Schizosaccharomyces pombe: one gene and its partners. Each later gene encodes a partner of the first gene's protein in a complex. Each region holds a gene or a part of one and is shown in the gene's direction. Other genes may lie near its edges. The genes, in order: mrpl38, mrpl19, mrp20 and mrpl20.

What was found.
Region 2: mrpl38 (region 1) and mrpl19 share a complex: the UniProt entries of both Schizosaccharomyces pombe proteins name them as parts of the mitochondrial large ribosomal subunit.
Region 3: mrpl38 (region 1) and mrp20 share a complex: the UniProt entries of both Schizosaccharomyces pombe proteins name them as parts of the mitochondrial large ribosomal subunit.
Region 4: mrpl38 (region 1) and mrpl20 share a complex: the UniProt entries of both Schizosaccharomyces pombe proteins name them as parts of the mitochondrial large ribosomal subunit.

Annotation. Positions count from the first base shown.
Region 1 is NC_003423.3:3,549,751-3,554,269, forward strand, and holds mrpl38 (putative mitochondrial ribosomal protein subunit L38), read left to right. Parts: upstream 1-1,593; 5' UTR 1,594-1,597; coding exon 1,598-1,639; intron 1,640-1,682; coding exon 1,683-1,740; intron 1,741-1,803; coding exon 1,804-2,084; 3' UTR 2,085-2,141; downstream 2,142-4,519. Other genes in the region: RNA-binding protein Cwf29, read right to left, coding at 1-36, 127-131; sorting nexin Snx3, read right to left, coding at 270-354, 435-631, 687-752, 802-885; SPOM_SPBC887.08 (uncharacterized protein), read left to right, coding at 2,368-2,493, 2,552-2,800; leucine-rich repeat protein Sog2, read right to left, coding at 3,072-4,519. UniProt on the Schizosaccharomyces pombe protein: Component of the mitochondrial ribosome (mitoribosome), a dedicated translation machinery responsible for the synthesis of mitochondrial genome-encoded proteins, including at least some of the essential transmembrane subunits of the mitochondrial respiratory chain.
Region 2 is NC_003424.3:3,204,442-3,209,284, reverse strand, and holds mrpl19 (mitochondrial 54S ribosomal protein uL11m), read left to right. Parts: upstream 1-2,744; 5' UTR 2,745-2,750; coding exon 2,751-3,185; 3' UTR 3,186-3,323; downstream 3,324-4,843. Other genes in the region: cytochrome c oxidase assembly protein Cox16, read right to left, coding at 1,305-1,415, 1,535-1,765; npt1 (nicotinate phosphoribosyltransferase), read right to left, coding at 3,692-4,843. UniProt on the Schizosaccharomyces pombe protein: Component of the mitochondrial ribosome (mitoribosome), a dedicated translation machinery responsible for the synthesis of mitochondrial genome-encoded proteins, including at least some of the essential transmembrane subunits of the mitochondrial respiratory chain.
Region 3 is NC_003424.3:399,660-404,940, forward strand, and holds mrp20 (mitochondrial 54S ribosomal protein uL23m), read left to right. Parts: upstream 1-3,226; 5' UTR 3,227-3,400; coding exon 3,401-3,886; 3' UTR 3,887-4,153; downstream 4,154-5,281. Other genes in the region: ATP-dependent RNA helicase Dbp10, read right to left, coding at 1-2,212, 2,313-2,535; AP-2 adaptor complex subunit Apm4, read right to left, coding at 4,154-5,281. UniProt on the Schizosaccharomyces pombe protein: Component of the mitochondrial ribosome (mitoribosome), a dedicated translation machinery responsible for the synthesis of mitochondrial genome-encoded proteins, including at least some of the essential transmembrane subunits of the mitochondrial respiratory chain.
Region 4 is NC_003421.2:818,505-824,900, forward strand, and holds mrpl20 (mitochondrial 54S ribosomal protein mL58), read left to right. Parts: upstream 1-2,790; 5' UTR 2,791-3,139; coding exon 3,140-3,733; 3' UTR 3,734-4,973; downstream 4,974-6,396. Other genes in the region: Cu(2+) transporter complex subunit Ctr4, read left to right, coding at 1-824; telomere cap complex subunit Ten1, read right to left, coding at 1,345-1,653; SPOM_SPCC1393.12 (uncharacterized protein), read left to right, coding at 5,175-5,501. UniProt on the Schizosaccharomyces pombe protein: Component of the mitochondrial ribosome (mitoribosome), a dedicated translation machinery responsible for the synthesis of mitochondrial genome-encoded proteins, including at least some of the essential transmembrane subunits of the mitochondrial respiratory chain.

The DNA of each region.
Region 1 (4,519 bases):
TCTTGCTCGTTTAAACGCTCAATTTGACGAATGGAGCTACTTTTGTTAATTTTAAAATTAAAAAACGAAAACAGCGAAAAGATGAATCGGATTTTTGCTATATTTTAGCCTCAATAGAAAACTTACTTCATAACAACCTAAGGTATTTTAAATGGTAATTAAACTTTGTAACAGATTGATTTCCAAATTTTTCTTTTAAAATAAAAAAAAAGATTGACAAAAATTAACAGTTGGAGGGCAAAATGGAGAAAAACAAGTTAGCGGCGGGTTTATGGCGTAGGCTTGAATTCCGGGCTTTGTAAAAAAGAAGATAAAACACGAGAATGGGTTTGAATAAGAGGATGTCCAGCAACTCTACATAATAATGTATTAGTTTTTGTGCAATTTAAAACGCTCTTTGGGGCAATAAGGCAAAATTAACATTCAATACTTACAGTCGTAAAAAATTTTCCAAACCTTGTCTACGTTCTTCGATAACATCATCTCTAAATCTTTGAGTGAATATCTTTCCTGGAAGTGGTGGAATTGAAACACGACCGGACTCTCTTTCAAGCATATCGTGAAATTTCTCGAATTCGCTGTAACGTCGACGAACGCTAGAATTATGTAGACGAAAATAGGGCATATTGGTCTACAAAAATGAGTTAATAATCTGCTATCAGAAGATGAATTTCAGTGGTACCTACCCGACAAACAATTTCATAAGTAGTAAACATGTTTCTTCCAATACCGTGAGTTTGTGGATTTATAACCTAAAATAACATCTATTAGAAATATTTCGAAATAATAAAGTAAACATACATCAATTTCAAGGATGTTTTCAGGAACATCATACATTTGTTGAGTAGTTTGCTGCCTGATTTCCGGTCTACTTAATTTATCCATTTATTTACCCTTATTACTCTTAAGAGCGATATCCAATATTATTTTACTGTTTAACAAGTAATAGTTGAAATTTTGAAGAAGTTTAAAAGTTTCGATACAAGGTGTAGTGTCTAGCTCAGATACGGGTACGGCTAATGAGATTCATAATCGGATCGCAAATTAGTAAGGCGTTTACTGTAAACATATCGCAGAGCATTTTTTCAAACTGCGTCGTCTAAAGATGAGAATGATAGTTCATTTGCTTCCAAAAAATAAAATGGATTCACTAACGTCCAAATCCTCCTCTCACTTTCAACAAAATTAACGAGTAATACAAAATCAAATATGTAGCATACAATCCATTATGATATTTTAATATGATAAGAGCAATTGCTAGTCAATATCACATTTTTGCTTTAATGACTATTCCACAACTCCATGCATGATGAAGAATTTGATTAAAACATGTGTAACAAGCAAAACATCAGAAGGTTAAAGCAAGATAACAGGTTATGACAAACAATTTGCTTGGAATAATTTCATATTTGAATGCATCTAATCAAATCGCTTTTTTTTTAATACAAACAGTTGTTTTTATTTATATATTTTGCGATGTGTTACATACTACGATATGCCAACTAACGTCAAATACCAAATTCTAATATTACGCATAGTGTAATTTATAGTGGAAGCGAGTACGTGAATGTATGGTCAAGTACTTGAATCTTTAGCAATGATCGGACTTAAAGGTATACTCAAAGTTATCGACAATTCCGTAAGTTTAAAATATTACTATTTGTACTAATAAGATGGAAAAGGGTGCTACCTTAGCTGAGTGCATTCGTGTAGTTCGCGCGGGAAAATTCGCTTCACTTGGTAAGTAGCACGAAGTGATCTTTTGTTTATATTCGACTAACATCACCTTTTTTTAAAAAACAGGTGATGAAGTGGTAGTAGTGGTAAAAAAGGCACGAAGCGGTTCATCAGTTACTGCTGCTAATAAAGTTAAACGCGGTGATATCCACCATGCTATCATTGTTCGGACGAAATCACCAGTTCGAAGACCCGATGGTCGTTATGTTCGTTTTGATGATAATGCCTGCGTCTTGGTTAATAAGGAGTGTGAGCCTCTGGGAACCCGTATCTTGTCAGTCGTTGCCAACGAGCTCAGAACAAAACATCATACTAAAATAGCATCTCTTGCTCCACGAACCATCTGAAAAGGGTATTGTAATGTTAATATTTCACTTAATTAAAATATATTTTTTAATTTTCTATTCTACGTCTAATTAAGGGACCTTGTCTCTTCAGCAAACACTTTTTACCTGATAGCCAATTAAGATTTTGCTTTTTTGGAGTTTTGTTACTCGTAAGCATTGTGGGGTTAAAAGGTTTTTACTACACACTTTTTTAGTAAAATACAGCTGTAGCAGGCTTTATTATATAGTCCATTATCTGTTAAATATATCTGATCGATCAAAAGAATTTAATGTTCTAGTAAGAATGGATTTGCTGGCGATTGATTTGGATTTTGATGTTAGTGAGTCAAAGCTTGAACGGAATAAGCGATTAAAACAGAAAGTAAGCATTGAAACTGATGGATGGACTCCAAGAGTTCAATGTTTTGGTGTATGTTACTCATTTTTTACTCCCAATTTATTGTCTATGATTTTAACAGATTATTCAGCATCTTAGTAAAAATGGCGTCGTCCTCGGTGAAGAAGCCTATATTTTAGAGCAATCAAAATTTGCAGCGGAAGAACAATATTATCTGGGAAACTATTCCTTAGCTAAAAAGTTTGCATTTCAAGCACTTGATGTTCCAACTGATAGTTCCAGCATTGAGTACCACAGACTGAGTTCAGGCGAAATCAATGAAATTGAAGACATCATCAGAAGATGCGAAATGAAACTTGAAAATAAGCAAAGCAATTAATTAGAAAAAATTTTTGTCTTGTCAAAGAGTACCTACCCAAAACTACACACTCTGTCTAATTTTTGTACATGATTTTCATGTGGAAACAGATTAATCACTACTTGTACCATCATCCTTTACAATTTGTCCTTGGTTTTGTTATTTGAATAAGAAATAAATTAATCAAATTCAATCGTGCATCATTTTTTGTATCATTAAATTTATAGTCTTTGTAGGCTTTTGAGTTATCGAGTTACCAATTATTCCTCATCAATCTTCATTAAAAAATTCTTTAGCGCTGTAAACCTTCCACGTTCCCATCCGCGTCAGTAAAGTAATCGATTTTATTAGTACTATAGGCTGACGCCGGAATTGCAGCTGGTGACATGATTAGAGGAGATGTAATAGATTGAGCAGCCGAACCCAGAGCCGCTGACAACGGTGTTGCAGGTACGCGGGCTATTGGGGACATCAAAGGAACAGGAGTGGCTAAAGATGACTCAGTGTAATGTCGAGCAGAGGAAGAAAGTAAGATAGTAAGATCTTTTGTAGATCTTGTTGCAGCTGAAAGACCAGCTAATACGCTTTTTTGGAATGTATATTCACTGGATAACGCTTTCGCTAAATTTGCGACTGCAATAATAGACTTGACAAATGCTTGAGTGTCGTCCAAAAAAAGCTGCCATTCCAATTCTTCCGGATTCGTTTGAAAAGTTAGAAGGCGATGCTTAAGTTTTCTAGTAACATCACAGGCGGCGGCGGATAATGATCCCAATTCACGTAACTTACTAATCAAATTGGGTGCGATGTTTTCATTTACTAGATCAGGCTGGTTATTTTTAGGAACAGCATCAATTAGTAATGTCAAAACTGACATTGCACTGTTTGTTGCTAAAGCGACCTGATCTTGTATTTGTTTATCAATTTCAGGATTCATCACTGATGCTGGTTTTTCAACGCTAACGATTCTGTTCGTAAGCCCAGATGCAGTCCGGATCATACTTGTCGGAGATTGACGTACCTGATCGGCGAATATGTTATTACCACTATGGGGTTGTGATGGACTCAATGGTACCAAGGCGTTTTGTAACTCCTTTGCAGCATCGAAAAGAATTAGCAGTAAAAGCCGAACATATCGGACATCCGCACGACTAGTGAGCTCATTTAAAAATTTTTTTGTCACTTCAATTAGTTTACGAAACGAGCTGATACAAGACAATGAAGCGTTTACTATGGAATTAATGTTTGCAGTTCCATCATTGCTTTGTTGGGTATCCTCAAAGCACAGAATTAGCCGCTTAATTTGAACATTGGCAGTATGTAACACATGACGCATAGAATCTAAAACAACGGGGTTGCTGCAAAAAAGAAGTTGCTGACGAAGGGCTTGTTGGACTTGCGAAAGCGAAAACAATATGCCCCTAGACGACTCTAAAGTTTTTTCAAAGGCCGAGTGCTTCATTTCAACCTCACTCCCTCCAATGTTACTGAAGTAGCTGTTGACCGAGTCATTTGTCAAATTGGAGCCATTTTCATGCGTTTCTTCTTTTTTCAAACGAGGGGAAGGATGAGGATCTTGAGCAAAAATTCGATTTGGTAATTGCTCAGAAAGTTTGCGCGCTTCTTTAAGGGCTTCAAGACGATGTAAAACACTCGATGGAAGTCTAGTAGAAGAGTAATCATCATTTGTACTATTGCTTCTATTACGCTCTTTCTTGGCAACCTCAGGTAAACTTATGG
Region 2 (4,843 bases), on another chromosome or scaffold:
CCGATTCAAATCAATCGGAACAAATTTATATGGCACAAAAAATTGCAATTTAGTGCAATAGCTCATCGAGTAATAGATCGATGACATAGCTGAACTTTCATAATTATTTTACAGTTCTTCGGGGAAAGGGTAAAATTTAGTCATTTCATCTGAATAAGTTTTCAATTTCATGCCTCATAAGTATTTGCACAAGTATGTCAGTAAACATTAGCGGGTCAAATACCAATTTTTTGCATATAGCATACGCTAAAAAATCGATGAAATCTTTATTGTTTAAAAGTATTGGTTTACTCGTTAAACGCTTCAATTTAGCAAATATGTACATATCTTCGGCATAGTTAGCAAGTAACAAAACCATTTATAAGTTGTGGTAGATTGTTAACTAAGTGGATTCGCTTGTGATAACTTAGATTAATCGAATATGATATCTCGGCTTGTATAATTTTAATATCACCTATGCAATAAATCAGCTTTGCAAATATCACGCCGTCTTATACATAAGAACGTTCACCAGGAATCCAAACTAGTCGTACGCTAAAAATAAATTTTTACGGGTATTGGAGATCTTTTGTTTACTATAGTGCGTTAGTTTGTTCACTGCTTCTGGATAATATATATAATTTTCAATGACTTAAAGACGATGCAATACCAAGTATTACCATTATAAAGAAGAAATTAATATTAAATTTAATCCTTATTAACAGTGTGTCACTATTTGAATACTGTCCTTAGCTCCTCCATCTTTCGTTGTAAACGCATTCGAAAAGGCTTCTTTACAACTTAGACAAACAGTAGATAGAATCAGACCATGCGTTAGTATCATTAGTAATTGTAATGGTCCAAAGCATATAATAAAGAGAGATGGCACTTATTTGATTGCTTTCAAAACAAGTTCTATTTAACAAGTTACTTATATATAACGGAAAGCCAAAAATAAACCGTTTACTAGTAAAGAAACCTTTCTGAATGCTCCTATTATTAAAACGCTTTTAGGCTTGAGTGACATATTCATAGTGAAATTTACGCTCAAATATCTTCATTGAAAGTTTATTCTACTGAATATGCTTAAGTGTAAGTATTTGGTCCTTTAAATTGAAGATAATTATATATGAGCCACATAAATATTATTCTCATGTTAGAAAAAAAAATTCTTGCTTTATTTATTTGAGTATTTCCATATGCTAAAACACTCTGTATCATAAAGTCGTCTTCAGCATTCTCACTTCAAAAACTTGTATCCTTTTCAATACTCCATAATTAATAATAAAATAAAGGAACAAAATAACAATAAAATCGTTCATTATTCATTCTTTATCGCTTGAATTTCCTTCCCATGTAGGCTCCCCTTTTAACCTCTTTACACGTTTATTTTCGTACTCCTCGTTCTGTAGATTCAACTGATCTAATAAGATCCTCTATAACAGGTGGTTAATAAAAAAGGAACTGGTGAATGTAAATTCACGAAAAGCAAATGCACTTTGCAGCTGGTTGCCAAAACTTAAATATTGTAAAACAAGATCAGCACTTTACTTACATAATATTCTTCATTAACGTCGACCTTTCTTCTTCTTTTAATAATGTCTAACTCTGCATCCCGGGACAAGGATTTAACTTGTTCATCTCGTCTGTTAAATTTGACTTGGGAAATGGGGATCAAGCATGACCAGACTAATAATACTGAGCTCAAAAACGGCAATCCAACGTAAATAAACGGACTTTTCTTGGCTTGAAGCCTATACCAACTTTTAAATCGATAGAAAAGCATTTTAATTTATTAACATCCTTACATTCGCTGAAAACGATGGATTGTTAAGAATGTGTAGTAAATAGCAAGTTGGTTAAGATGATTATGGCAAACTTCACTCAGCATGTTAGGATGGAAATTAATAAGATAGTCGTTGGTTTGTAATAATTAATTTTAAGAGTAGAGTTTTAATAGAAATCTGCACTTTGAAATCTTTTTATTTCTACTAATTATTCAAGCTGCATCGCGTGACAGCATTCCTACATAGCCCAAGCACTTCAGGTGAAAACCCTTTATAGTTTTAATTACAATACACATTAGGAAAAAGAAACATATCGATGGCATGTGCTAGTGACAGACTGTGACTTCCAGTAAACATGTGTTTTACTTTGTTTACCATAAAATGGTATGTAAAATGTTTATTGAAAGTAATAAAATAGCTGAGAAAAGACCATTTAATTTCAGCTTGTGATTCAAATGAAATAATCATGCTTTTTAGTTAGGATATTTGCCAATCCCTAAAAACTTAATATATTAATTGATAGTAAGGAGTTAACTTTGAAAAGCTATGTAGCTAAATTTTGGTTTGCTTCTTTTAAACGGCTTCAATTCAGCGCTATTGTTGTTCAACAAATGAAAAATTTTGCGACATTTTAACTAATCCGTATTTGAGATTCAAAAATCAACTAAAATTTTTCAAAAAAATCCTAAAACGAACAACGTTTATGAAAACGTCTTTTCCATTTATCTGAGTTGCCTATTTAATGTCAATACTTTTACTTCTATTCAATCAAGCAGAAGAGAAGGACACATTTGGTCTATTCGGGAATTTTTCTGACTGCTATTAAAAGCTTTAATATTACAAATAAGTAAACACATTACAATTAATTCACCCAAATATTTCAAATTAGTTATTATTCTAATTACAATTATTTTTAAGGAAGAACATGTTACTTTATTGCATGAGAGACATACAACTTACAACTGTATTTTCTTCTTTAACCTTATGGCTTCTACTAGAACGACAATCATAAAATTAATTGTACCGGCAGGAAAAGCTACGCCTACGCCTCCAATTGGACCTGCCCTTGGTGCTCGCGGGTTGAAGAGCATAGACTTTTGTAAAGAATTTAATGCGCGGACGGCAGGTTGGATGCCAAATACCCCAGTGCCTTGTAAAATTACTGTCACACCTCAAAGAACATTTACTTTCACTATACATACTCCTCCAACCAGTTGGTTAATCTCTAAAACCCTCGACCTTGAAAAAGGTTCAAGTTCCCCATTACATGATATAAAGGGACAATTAAGCTTGAAGCATATATATGAAATTGCCAAATTGAAAAGTACTGATCCAAGCTTACAAGGAATAGAGCTTCTTTCTCTTTGTAAAAGTGTCATTGGAACAGCTAAAAGCATGGGCGTCAAAGTCGTACCTTAATCTTATGAGACGCCAGAGCATTTTGTAACTGGTCATACTTGAGGTTATTTTTTTTTCTATCTTGTTATAAACTATTCCCCTCTTTTTTCTTGAATAAAAGCAGTTAATGATATGACTTTTTACTATTACCGACTAAAACGTTGTCCCTGTTTTCTTATTTTCTCCTTTTCTTAGTTGTTTTATATTATTCCTTCGTTAAACAAGCAAAGTAAAAAAACACGTTTGCCATATAAAATTAAAGAATTGCATACCGTTAGTTTACAAACACATCTTAGACTAAATGATTACCTTTAGCATTAAACTATCAATATAGATAACGAAACAGATATGCTAAGCAGAAAAGAAAATGAAGATTTTCAAGTGTGAGTTTTATGTTTACTCTAAGTCACGCCTTATGAAATGCAGCTCAATAAAAGAGAGCCTCAAACTCTGTCTATCTATCAAAAAATAAGAAAAAAAAAACCAAGATTAGTACTGCAGAAACGCTCGAAAATAAAAGAAATGGCTTATGCTATAGGGAGGCATAATTGATGCTTGGCTTGAATAACAGCATCACGATCACCAGTATTTTTCATGATATCGTCACTAATCTTCACTGCTTTAGTTCCTTCAGCGGAAAAAAGCTTAATAACAATATTCATAGGTTTGCTCACTTCACTGGGATTGGAAACTTTTTGGAAGTCGCTGGTAAGATTTGTGCCGATGCCAAATGCAGACTTAATGCCACATTTCTCGCAGTATTTGTACAGTTCGATACATCTGTCAACATTTAAAGCATCGCTATGAACAATTACTTTTGTGGAAGGATCGACACCTATTGATTTATAGTGCTTTACGACTTTTTCAATGTATTCCTCAGCACAACCGCTATCTTGACGAACACCATGGAAAACATTGGCTAAATCGTCGGCAGAATTGGCTGTAAAAGATTTGAGAAACACATCAGTAGAGAATGTATCCGTTAAGGCTATTAAAAGACTAGTACCAAAAGTTTGGACCCACTTTAAGGAAGCAATACGATTTGCTTGTTTATAATTTTGAGTAATAGCTGCAATGCCCATATACCACTCGTGAGCAACCGTACCAGAGACATTTAGATTATATTTGGCGGCGAAGTAAACATTAGATGTACCAAGGAAACTTCCAGGGCCCTTAAAATCCTCTTGTGCTTTCATGAGACCTTGGAGAACAATTTCCTGGGTGTGAGGATCACGACGACGACGAGTGCCAAAGTCAGTAAAGGCACATCCGGCTCGGATGAGACGCTTACCCTTCTCGTAAGCTTTTTCAAACTGACCCTCAGGTGACCAGTCCTTATCGACAAATTTAAAATAAGATTCTGAGACGAGAGCAAGCAGTGGAATTTCATAAAAAATGGTATTCTTCCAGAGGCCGTGAATAAAGATTGAGAGATCCTTAGTTTCAGAATCATAATTAAGGGAAATTGAATTTTCAGGATCAAATTCGAACTCATGCATGAATTCATAAAATGATTCCTTTAAATAAGGACAGTTCTTGCGAAGCCATTGCTCTTCTTCAGGAAGTAAATGTAAATTCCGTAAGCCTCTTATTTGTTCCCGTAACCAGTTATAAGCCTCCTGATTTAATGCCATTTTTGGGGACCGGTTTGTATACTTATATGATACTTGAGCATCCGG
Region 3 (5,281 bases), on another chromosome or scaffold:
ATTCCTCTTTCTTTAGCCTCTCTATTACGTTTATTTTGTTTGTGATAGTTATCACGGAACTTATCAGCTGGTTTTGGAGTCTGTAACTTATTATGTTTATATCGCTTATTTTCCCGTATAGGAGAATCGTTGGCACCGAATGCTTTAGATGCTTTCCATTCATCAAAACGACCACTACGATATGTTGCAGGCAATTTCACGCCGCTTTCGCCACGAATTATCTTGGGAGACCCTTTGGACCCGTCTTCGTCGTTAATTATATTAACAAATTTCTTTTTCTTTGGATCCCAACGTTGTCCCCCCTTCCTTGATTGTTCAATTCCTTCGTCATTTGTTAAATCGAGAATAGCATGACGAGCTGCGGTAGTAAAATTTTCACCAGAATTTATAGCATAGCCAGTTTCTTGAATAGATTCCTTTGGAGCGTAATGAGACATATAATACTCTTTATCTTTAAAATCAGTTGTCTTCTTTTTTGATAACTCCTTAGGATTTTTAAATACCTCTTCAAGCTCTGACTCTGAAGCTTCTGACATATTACCAGGAGAACTGTCAGTGATTTTATCAGATGCAACTTCAGATTTTATTCCTTTTGGTTTTACTTTGTTTCTTCTTTTCCGCATGATTTCTGCAGCTTCTGTCTTTAAGTGACCACGCTGACCGATTTCAAATACTGTTTCTGATGGCCGATAAGAAGAAACTTTTGAAAGCAATTCAGCATATTTCTCCTCGGCCTCAATTACCGATACATCTCCAAATAATGGATTGTTGGAACTCCAGCCCTTGCTATCAACCAATTCCTTAGCTCTTTTAGCACTCTCAGCACTACAAGTAGCTCTTGTGCGAAAATATAGTTTCTCACCCCTTGCAGCAACGTTGGAAAGTTGCTGTAGCTCAACGTCTCTCGAAACTATTCTTTGTACCCATTCTAGTAGCTCAGCAACAAGTTCTTGGGGTAATGATCCCAAAACAATCTGTTTTGTAAAATCACAATCCGAGTCAGTTTTAACCTGCTTCGAGGATGTAACTAAAGGTCGGTTTAAAAATAGTTGTAAGTCTAATAAATAACCAGCATCTTCTGCTCTAACCAATGAATACGCCCAGCCAGTGCGTCCTGCTCGAGCTGTACGTCCTACACGGTGAACAAAAACTTTTGGTTGAGGAGGGAAATCATAATTAATAACATTAGCAAGTAATGGGATGTCAATACCACGAGAAGCTACGTCTGTAACGACTAGTAAATTTGTTTTTCCAAGTCGAAAATTATTAATTTCATTGAGACGCGCTTCTTGGTCCAAAGACCCGTAAATTTTTGAAACCGAATATCCTGCTTGAACAAGTAACTCAGAAACATACTCGACATGATGTTTTGTAGGAACAAATACTAGAGTAGAATCTGGTGATCCAGATTCACTTCCTTTAAGCGCTAATTCTAATGCACGTTTTCTTTTCTTCGGATTATTGACATTTCCTATTTCTCTTGGGCGCACGTTATCTTTTAGAGGAAGCTTAATGATATCTTGTAGTATACATAAGAGAGCAGCTTCGCGTTCAGCGGTTTTAACAGAAAAAAAGGCACTTTGTAGATCCGCGGAAACCTTGGATTCTACATCAAGGCGTACAAGAACCGGGTCTTGAAGTCCAGCCTTTGCAAAATCAACAAGAGTACGTGGAAGTGTGGCAGAGAAGAGAAGAGTTTGACGAGAAGTCGGCAAAGCATGTAAAATCTCTGTCAATTGAGCAGCAAAACCCATTTCAAAAAGTCTATCGGCCTCATCGAAAACGACATACTCGATTGAACTCAACTCCAATTTCATTTCCACCTTTAAATGTAGAAATCTTCCAGGAGTTGCGACCACAATATCGGGTTTTCCGGATAGCAAACTAAATTGCTCCTCTAGACTGACGCCACCGACGATAGCGACAGATCGAAGATCCGTACCTTTAGAAAAGTCTTTGACGACTTTCACAGTCTGAAGAGCAAGTTCTCGATTTGGCGAGAGAATTAAGGCGCGAGTATTAGAGTTTGCTAGAGTGGACTTCAAATGCTCAATCATAGGTATAACAAAAGCTGCAGTTTTACCTGATCCAGTACGTGCCATACCTACAACATCACGACCTTCCAATAAAAGGGGAATCGTTTTGCGCTGAATCGGCGTAGGAGCTTTAAAACCCTTCTTAAATATTGCTCGAAGTAAAGTTTGATTCAATCCTATAATTAAGTTAGAAAAATATCAAAGTAATTTAGATTACAGTGTCTTGAAGCATAATGCAAAGTGACCTTATGGCAAGTAATCACGAAGTTAACATACCCATCGATTGGAAATTAGAAGCCTTTCCATTCCCCTTTTTTCCCTTCGTCCTCCTGTTAGACTCCAAAAGCTTCGAGGCAATATAATTACCATCATCTTCATCGCTCACATTTTCACCAACATTTTCGTGCTTATCTTTTTGATTATCAGTAGCAATATCAACAGGAAAAGCTTTTAAAGAATTTGATATATCGACCTCGTCGGACGTCTGGAATCCGGACATTTAAGACGAGTGAGCTGCACTTTTGTTGATTTTTTAGTTCTCTAGTGTCGCTGGCAAGAAAATTTACCGTATGAATAACAACTATCAAAAGGGCCTTCTTAAGTTTGATTTAACATTCTCATTTCAATTGTTCTGCTGCGTTTCTTTATATTAAAAATAAGTAATCCAACGTATTTTAATAAACTATAACGAACTTGAAATAAGCTGCTTTATATGTCAGCAATACTACACTACGCTACGATATACTACGTTGTGTATCACTATATGTCACATGTTCATAATGTTCTATTTGCTCTATCAGCTTTACATGATAAGTTATCTAGAAGGATATAATATCATTTATGATAAGATGACTATCAGTTATAATCCTTGTTATTTCAAATGTTATAAATTGAGAACAACTGAATTTGATTCCTCAGTTCAGTTATAAGATATCTCAGCTATAGATAACGATATATCCTATATATTAGAATACCTATATCCAATTCCTACTTATACTACTTGCGTATTACAATATAATAGATCACAAGGAAAACTCACCGCAGTTCTACGTATCCTTAAATCAGATACCAAATTGCGTAGCTTACATATATTACGTTCTAGGATAATACAACCAGAGACGTTATTTGTTAATAGTATACAACTGAGCTTTGATGCAATAAAGCAACCGGATTCTCAGCACGTTAGTACTAAACAACATTTGAACTCCGTAATCCAACAAATGGTTAATAACTAATCGTTTACCTAAGGCCGTTGACATCAAATTCATCTTGAAATCTACTGTTGAGAAAAACCATTTGTTTCTCTTTTTTTGCATAACTAGCACAAGTTGCTTTAGCCTTGAAGTTGAAACTCAATAGTAAATATGAGTAAAATTGCTGGGAAAAGATTAGTGTACTTTCCAAATATAACGTTCACGTTATGCAGAGGACTAAATCTTCAACCTAAATTTGCAGTATTTCGCGTACCTCTTCATGTTAACAAGTTTGATGTTCGCGATTATTTGCAACATGTGTACAATTTAAAAGTCGTATCAGTTAAGTCAAGAATTTATCAGGGCAAACTTTTTAGAAATCAACTAGGACAGGTTAAGAGACCACAATCTGAAAAACGCGTCATCGTTGAGATGGAAGAACCTTTCGTTTACCCAAATGCCCCAAATGATTTGAAAGATTGGCAGGAGGGTGAATTACTTCCTGATGGTTCTAATGTGAAAACCCTGAGCAGGTATCCAAAGGTCCTTGAACAAGTTGACATGAAACGGGTGAACGAAGAGTTAAGTAAGTTACAAGATAAGCAGATACTCGAATCACAACAGAAAATCGCTAGACTTTTAAAGAAAAAGTATTAGTATTTTTTTCATTTCCCAGGTAATGTTTTATTTTGGTTTCCGTCTATTCATTAATGCCTACAAAAGCATAATTATAGCCTCAAATGCCTCATCGAAGCGGTATGGTGTTTAATTGCATTCATTATAACCTCTCTTCTTTCATCTATTAAACTTTCAACGCCACTTGTTTCATTTTGAAATGTTCTAAAACTATTTTGGAAATTCTTTTCATGTCGGAAAAGCACGGTCGTCAATTAATAAAATAATAATTTTGTATCACAATACTTCTTAAATGCGTATCTCGCAAGTTCCAGCCCTAGTTGAGTACCTTACCCATTTAATACTTTTGTATTTGCTATTAGAAGGTTCACTGACCCTTAAGTATTGCACATGTAGACCGGAGCTGGTAAACATAAGAATATTGAAATCTAAGGATATTGGAGGCTTCGCCCATATTTGCTGGTTAGTTGTATTAGATAACTCTACCTCAGCGTAAAAAATAAGTTCAGTTTCGCCTAAAAACCGGGGAATTTTCCAATTGATAATATTTTCAGAGGGCTCGTACCCTGCCTTTCCTCGATTTACACGAGGATTAGCTTTTACCACATTTGTGGGAACCGGTATCCGAAAGTTCAAAGAAGAAGAAAGTTTGTGTGGATAGTCTGCTCGTATACTGATACGATAAATAATTTTTTGTTTCGACAACTGTTCGACAATAGGAACAATTCTAAAAGGAATATTTATGTTTTCATGTGAACGATAACTCATTAATTCAACCTCACCATCCGGCGGAATGAAAGTAATTCTGTGTTCATTTTCAAATTCCGGCAATCTAACACATTGATGAAACTGGCAATCTTCTAAAATGACAAATCCTCCGTTAACTGAGGACGGATTTCTAGAGTTATTTGATTTAGACTTGCTTTCTGATTGTTTTAATTTAAAATCAAGCTTATCATTTAGCCCAAACTGACATTCAGGCATTCCAGAAAGCATTGCACGCATTTTCACGACACCAGAAACATCTGAGCGTAGCACATTTCCAGTAGAGCTAATAAGTAAATTCATTCTTTCAACAATATCAATGTAGATACTATTTTTTCTATACTTAATGCCAGCTCTACGCCATGGTACAGACCCTGGTATTTCAGAGGAAGTGGTGTGTGCCAACTGAGAGGAATGAGACCTTTTCAAGGACAGTGCATTGCCTTTCTTTTTGACAGCTGTTATGCTGACAGATCTTGCAAGTGCGTCAGGTTCAGTAGTCTGAATGATACCATAGTCTATCATTTCATCCAGCAACTCGAAAATAAAGGAGACATTGTCTTTGACTGTATTTTCATTCAGTTTCCCAAAATAATGTGTCAAATCTTGAATTAGACTCTCCAAAAATTCCAAAACAATCATAACATTTGG
Region 4 (6,396 bases), on another chromosome or scaffold:
TTAAGTTAGGAACATCTATGGCTCAAAATTCCCAAGGCCCTGTAGATGACTCTAGCTTGTCTCAATTGGAGAATTTGCTCCCACCTTTGCAAATTTTGACTGCTAGAGCCGCTATGGCTGCTATGAACATGTCGAATGATACATCCATGTCTGGAATGAACATGACCAACAGTACGACACCCATGTCTGGAATGAACATGACCAATAGTACAACATCCATGTCTGGAATGAACATGTCCAACAGCACAACATCCATGTCTGGCATGAATATGACTAATACCACTACAACCGCAAAGGCTTCTTCTTGTAAATTATCCATGTATTGGAACTGGTATACTATCGATGCTTGCTTTATTACCAAACATTGGCATATCACCAGTAAGCATATGTTTGTCGGTAGTATTTTCGGAATTATCTTCATGATGATGGCATTGGAATTGGTCCGTCGCGGACAAAGAGAGTTCGATCGTTGGTGTGTCCGTAGATTTTCTCCCGCTAGCAATTCCTGCTGTCATTCGGGTGCCCCTGTTCATTCTGGTCCAAGCATGGCCCTTCGAATCTTTCTTCATTTTCTTCGGTCCTGCTTTTATCTAGTCCAGTATATTGTCGCGTATATCGCAATGTTACTCGCAATGTATTATAATGGCTATGTAATTTTATTTCTCTTTTGTGGCACCTTCTTTGGCTATTTCCTGTTTGGTGCGGATACCATCTCTACTAAGGCCTCTTCATCTGTTCAAACGAAAACGATCGTTCAAGTCGCCGACGAAAAACACGAACATGATTCCAGTCAATATTCAGACACAACACCTACAACCGAATAGCTTGATTATCTCTAAATTTGGTTTAGTATTCCCAATTTCATGCACCTCACTCATTTTCAGTGCTGAAGCGTCTGATTAATCATAATCGTCTTCGCTTTAATTTCTTTCGCACAGTCACTGATAGTTTGGAAGAGGATTCTTTGATGAATGTTGAAGCCACATATTACATGTCCATGTTGGAAAGACAAAACAAATTCTGGTAATTTGTCTTAAGTTTTTACAAAGTAATAAAAGTTTCAACAAAAATAAATAGATGCCACAAGGTAACGCTTATCTTTGTTAGTTAAACATTCAAATTAGAGTATATAGCAATTTGAACAGATGTAATTCGTTCCTTTTTTTTTTTAACCATGATTGTTTGTTTTCGACTTTGAACCTGGAGGTTAATAAATATTTATTATTATAAAGACTGACATTAACACGATTCAGTACCTTTATGGTATCTTAAGGTGATCACTTTCTATATATTTTTAAATGAGTTTGTAATGACATGGTGCAACAGAACTACATAAGATATTCATCAATCACATTTTTGACGTTCAGAAACCATTTGTCGATATCTCGGAAGATTAATTCCAACAGCAGATCGTATTAACAAGACATCCACAATACCATCCTGCCGCTTTCTCCCAACAATGTTGAGCCACTCATGCTTTTGAATAGATACATCAGGTAAAACTACTGTAACATCACAAGTCACGCTGCTTGATCCATCAATCAACCGTAGAATGCCATTCTTATATGATTGCACGCATCCTAAAAATCGAAGTTTTTGGCCGTCCTTACAATCGTTAATTTGATTAATGAAGATAAGTTTAGCACTATCCATCAGCTGCTAAATATATTGTAAAAAGGAGAACAAGGAAAGATGAGGGAAGGTGGTATAGTTTGTGTTTGGAAACTGGGTAATCGATTGAAATATGAATTTCGTAAATGAGCGACTTAAGATCGCAGCTTTAATTAAGAAAACGTAGTTTGACTTTTTCAAAAGGAAAAATTTGCATTAATCCTTAAAATGTGCAGAAAGACTACACTCTCGTTTGCAATAGTAAAAGCAAAATCTAATAATCGTATAGTACTATCAGTGAGGCATATTAGATTGATAAATAGACCAACATTTCCATTATTATTATTTATGAATTGGTTTACTTGAGCAACTCCACAAAAAACGCAAGCATGGTTCTTTTGATTAGTTTTTATAAATTAAGTCAGATGGAATATAAAAAGAGAAAAATAAATGCTTTGGCCGGGAATCGAACCCGGGTCGAATCGATGGCAACGATTCATTATACCACTAAACCACCAAAGCTTCTTGAAATATCTTGTAAACTTGTATAATATAAGTAGCTATTAACGATAACGATAATTATTTATTATACCATTATAATATTGATTAAAATCAAGCAGAGAATTGGAAACATGTTCTGATGTAGTTGTTTAAGGCCTTATAAGAAATCAATAGTTCTTGTAATAAATTCCGATTTTAGTTATAGGGCCAATGCGGCTAATATTCACTTGATAAATTGAAGCTGACTGTAAACAAAAGGTTACCCCTTACTTAACCATTTGATATTATAATTTACATTGCAAAAAATTTGGGTCAGTTTGAAAAGGTGTGTACATTTCCTAAAAATCTATGGAAAATTGAAAAAAATAAAATAAATTTAATTTAATATTTAAAATATCATGCTTCCAGTATTCAATATAATCGGTATTTAAATTGAACCATGAACAGATTAGAAATGGTTTAAAAAAAAAACAGCAAAACAAAATTGTATTGAATTTATCCTACAATCAAAATGCCGTTAACAATATTTTTTAGCTTGAATCTTCCGATTTCTCTTAATAAACCGTCAAAGTGCCAAAAACCAGTTTTAATATAACGAATTATATAATATACATTTAAGGTGCCATAAACACACTGCATTATACGTATTGAAACTAAGAGTGTGGATACTGTGCATATAGAGACTGCTAAACTCCAGGAAACCCGCATTTGGAGAGTAATTTCGTGTTTTTACTCGGAAAATTGCAAGCCTTAATACGATTCTTGTAAATTCAAAAGTTAGAACTCTTCCAAGTGATTTTTTGCGTGTTTTTTTGCTGTTTATTTTTTTTTTGCATTGAGCTCTTTTGTCACGTCGTTGCTATAGCTTTTAGGCTTTGAGAATCTTCGTTATAACTAATATTATTTGAAGTGTGGGTTTATCCAAAAGGCCCTTTACAGTTTTTTGTGTTATAACCTTTTCTCAAAAAAATTTAAAGCATCATTTCTAAAGCGACACCAAAATTAAAATAGTTGAAAGAGTAAAAACATGTTGTTTACAATCAAACCTTCATTTTTGAAGCCTGTAGGCTTCATTCAGACTCGGAATTTGAACCGGCTATACCCTAAACAACGTATTCCTAAGCGACCTAAAATTCCTATGGGTTCCAAAATAGCAGAGGTAACTGAAACTACATCTGCTTATTACAATCCACCAGCGTCTTCTCCAGATGTTAGGATTACTCCTCCTGTTTTTCGCTATGATGCACCTCCAATTCATCAGCGTGATACCTCACTTTCCAAAGAGTCAATGTTTCTCCCGCCGGCAGTTAGCCGAAAATCGAAAAGCAAAGGAAAGTTGAGGTTTTCTACTCATCAACTGAGTAGTGAAGATATCAAATCCATCCAAGACTTGAGGACGAAAGATCCGAATGCTTGGACAACTGGAACACTGTCTAAAAAGTTTAACACAACTCGGTTACTAATTTCACGAGTTTGTGAAGCTCCCAAAGAAAGGATTCAAAAAGTTGAAGAAAATTTTGAGGCTGAAAAACTTGCCTGGGGATCAAAGAAGCGTGAAATTCGCCGACAACGTGCATCTCGTCAAGCATTCCGTACATTGGAACGAGTAGCACAGGTTTAAAATAATTTAATAGTTTTTGGGATTCTAAAACTCTGGTTTTCAATAAAGCTCTGATGCACATGCGGAAGCGTTTTTGACTGCATTATTTAATGTTTCAATCACGTTACAAAATACTCGAGTGATTTGAAAGTTCCTTGGAAAATAATATTAGTTTTGAAGCTTTTCAAAAAAAACAGACATCTTCATTCTTCTTTATTTCTTAATTTACAAAGGCTCTCTGGCATTTTACGAATTATCCTTTACATTTCTATCAACATTTACGCACATTGGTCTGCATATCGCGAATTTTTGTCGCAACCTTTAAAATGTTATTATACAGGCACGAACTTGTTTTACATTTTTACCTCTCCCTTCTCATGTACATATTTCCTTTTTGGAACAAATGAGGAAATTTTTCATTTCAGCTTAGTAGGCTCGGAAATCCTCAATCATAGAGTATGTTGCTTTTGTAACACTCAAGCCAGTTTTTTTTTTTTTTTGGTTTTATCTTTTAACTATTACTGAGAATATACAATGGTGTACATAATTAATTGGGTCAGCGAGCAGTAAAAAAACATCTTTATTTCCTCTTGTACAGAGAGCCCTTTCGTTCAAACCTCAAGTGGTGAAAATAAAGATATTTTTTCGGCTTTTAAGCAGTTGCTATTTAAGATTTCCAATCGACATCAACCGTTTATAAACACTCACGAGATACTTACTTTTGCAAGTTTCCTCACCAGCCATCATCCATCCATCTCCTTAGGACAATTTGCATTCTACGGATTTCATTAATACATCCATCTCTAGCTACTATTTACTTATATTAAAGCTTTGTTTCGCCGTTTTCTACTTTTTTGAAGCTTGTGTGACTATACGTGCTCTTCTTTGTTGGCCCAATTTTCCAACGATCGTCTAAAGAAACATGCGACCTAGTTGAGGAATTTTGCTTTAAGACATTGTTTTTACAGACTCTAACAAGCTTAATTTGTATGGTGGACACAGCTTTGTTGTAATACTGCATACTGCGATTCTCAAATCCTACACTCCTCTCTCCTCTTCTCTCCTTGTTACTTAGTACCTCGAGAAGTTTTGGGGTGACATCAGTCAGACACAAGAATTATATGATGGGTGGGTGGGTTAATACGTATATGAATGATCTCATTTACGTTGCCGTATTGTGCTACTAAAAGTGTTATATATAGAGCAGTGGGAAGTAGAAGTGAGCACTCTTATTAACGATAAAGTTGTGAGTTGAACAAAAGCGACTTACTACTTTGAAATATTGTTTTACTTTACAATTGAACATTTACTAGTGTTCAGGAAAAATCTAATTTTTTTTCGTGCGCTCGATTGAATATTATATCAATCCTTTGTGTTGTACGGAGAAAACCGCTTTTATATAACCTTTCGATTTATTAATTTTTTTTTACTCGGTTAATTCACGAAATCCTAATCGAGCATCATGAATAGGCGTGTTACTCTTGGAGCCTTGGCCGCTGCTGTTGGTGTTGGTTATTATATGACTCGCCATAATCGTCAGGCATCTTCCAGATTGGAACAGAAGAATGCAGAAATCGTCAGAGCCGTGGAAAATGAGGGTCAACGATTTGACAAAGCTGTTGGCGAAACCACTGAAAAGGCAAAATCTTATCTCCAAAGTGGGAAGGAGAGGGTTGTCGATGAACTCGACAAACCTCGTGAAAACGTAAAAAATGTGTTGTCAGAGGCGCAAGCCAAGGGTACTGAACAAGCAGAAGCCCTTAAAAAGGGTACCTCAAAATGGTTTTAAATTGGAAATCCCCAATTCTCGCCATTTAGGGTTATGTGGCAATACTTTGAAAAAATACACACAGGGTTTGTTGTGTATTTGAAAACGTAAAGTGCCTAGCATTGGCTCGTTCTATACCTGCTATCCATTAAGTGTTCTTGTTAATTGTTCCAAACGTATTGCCAAACATTCCGGATCACATCTCGGCAAAGTCGGAGAGATTAAACGTTGTTAACGTTATTCTTTTTTATGTTATTATTAGTTTCTTCTCTCATAAACCAACTGAACCCAAATGATTAGCGATGACAAACAAACGACGATTCCATGGGTTGTCAAAAACACCCTCATAGAAGTTTGCTTTTTTTTGTACAGATAAAAGCGAATTTTTAATTGAAATAATGTTTTTCATGAACGCATAAATGAATGATTGAAATTTTTACATGCATGATTTTCCATTATAGACTGTAAAATGATATTTAAAGTAAGCGATGTGGACTAAGAGTAGTGATAATGCATATGAATACATGCATAGTTTGGATATTATAGGTTTTTCCTAGTTTCCATTATTAAAAAAATAAAAGATTGAAAGGAGTGTTTTGCTTTAATCTGCTCTAGTAGACAGAGTCAAAATTGATATATTTAATAATATTCAAGATGAAGAGATAGAACTCATCAAGTTCGCTTAGATATAACCTTAGCTTACGCGAAAGATGAGAATACTGTAATGCATAGTTTTTTGTTAATTTGAGACAACGAGAGGTATGGAAAATGCCCCTCAGGTGAATTCTCTAAATAAGCTAAAAAGTCAAACGCAAAAAAATGCATTATGCCGGTTTATAGAAGATAAACTTTTTTTTGCTGACAAATATTACGATGGAATTGTCGTTTTGACATTTCTTAGCCGTCGTACCTAATG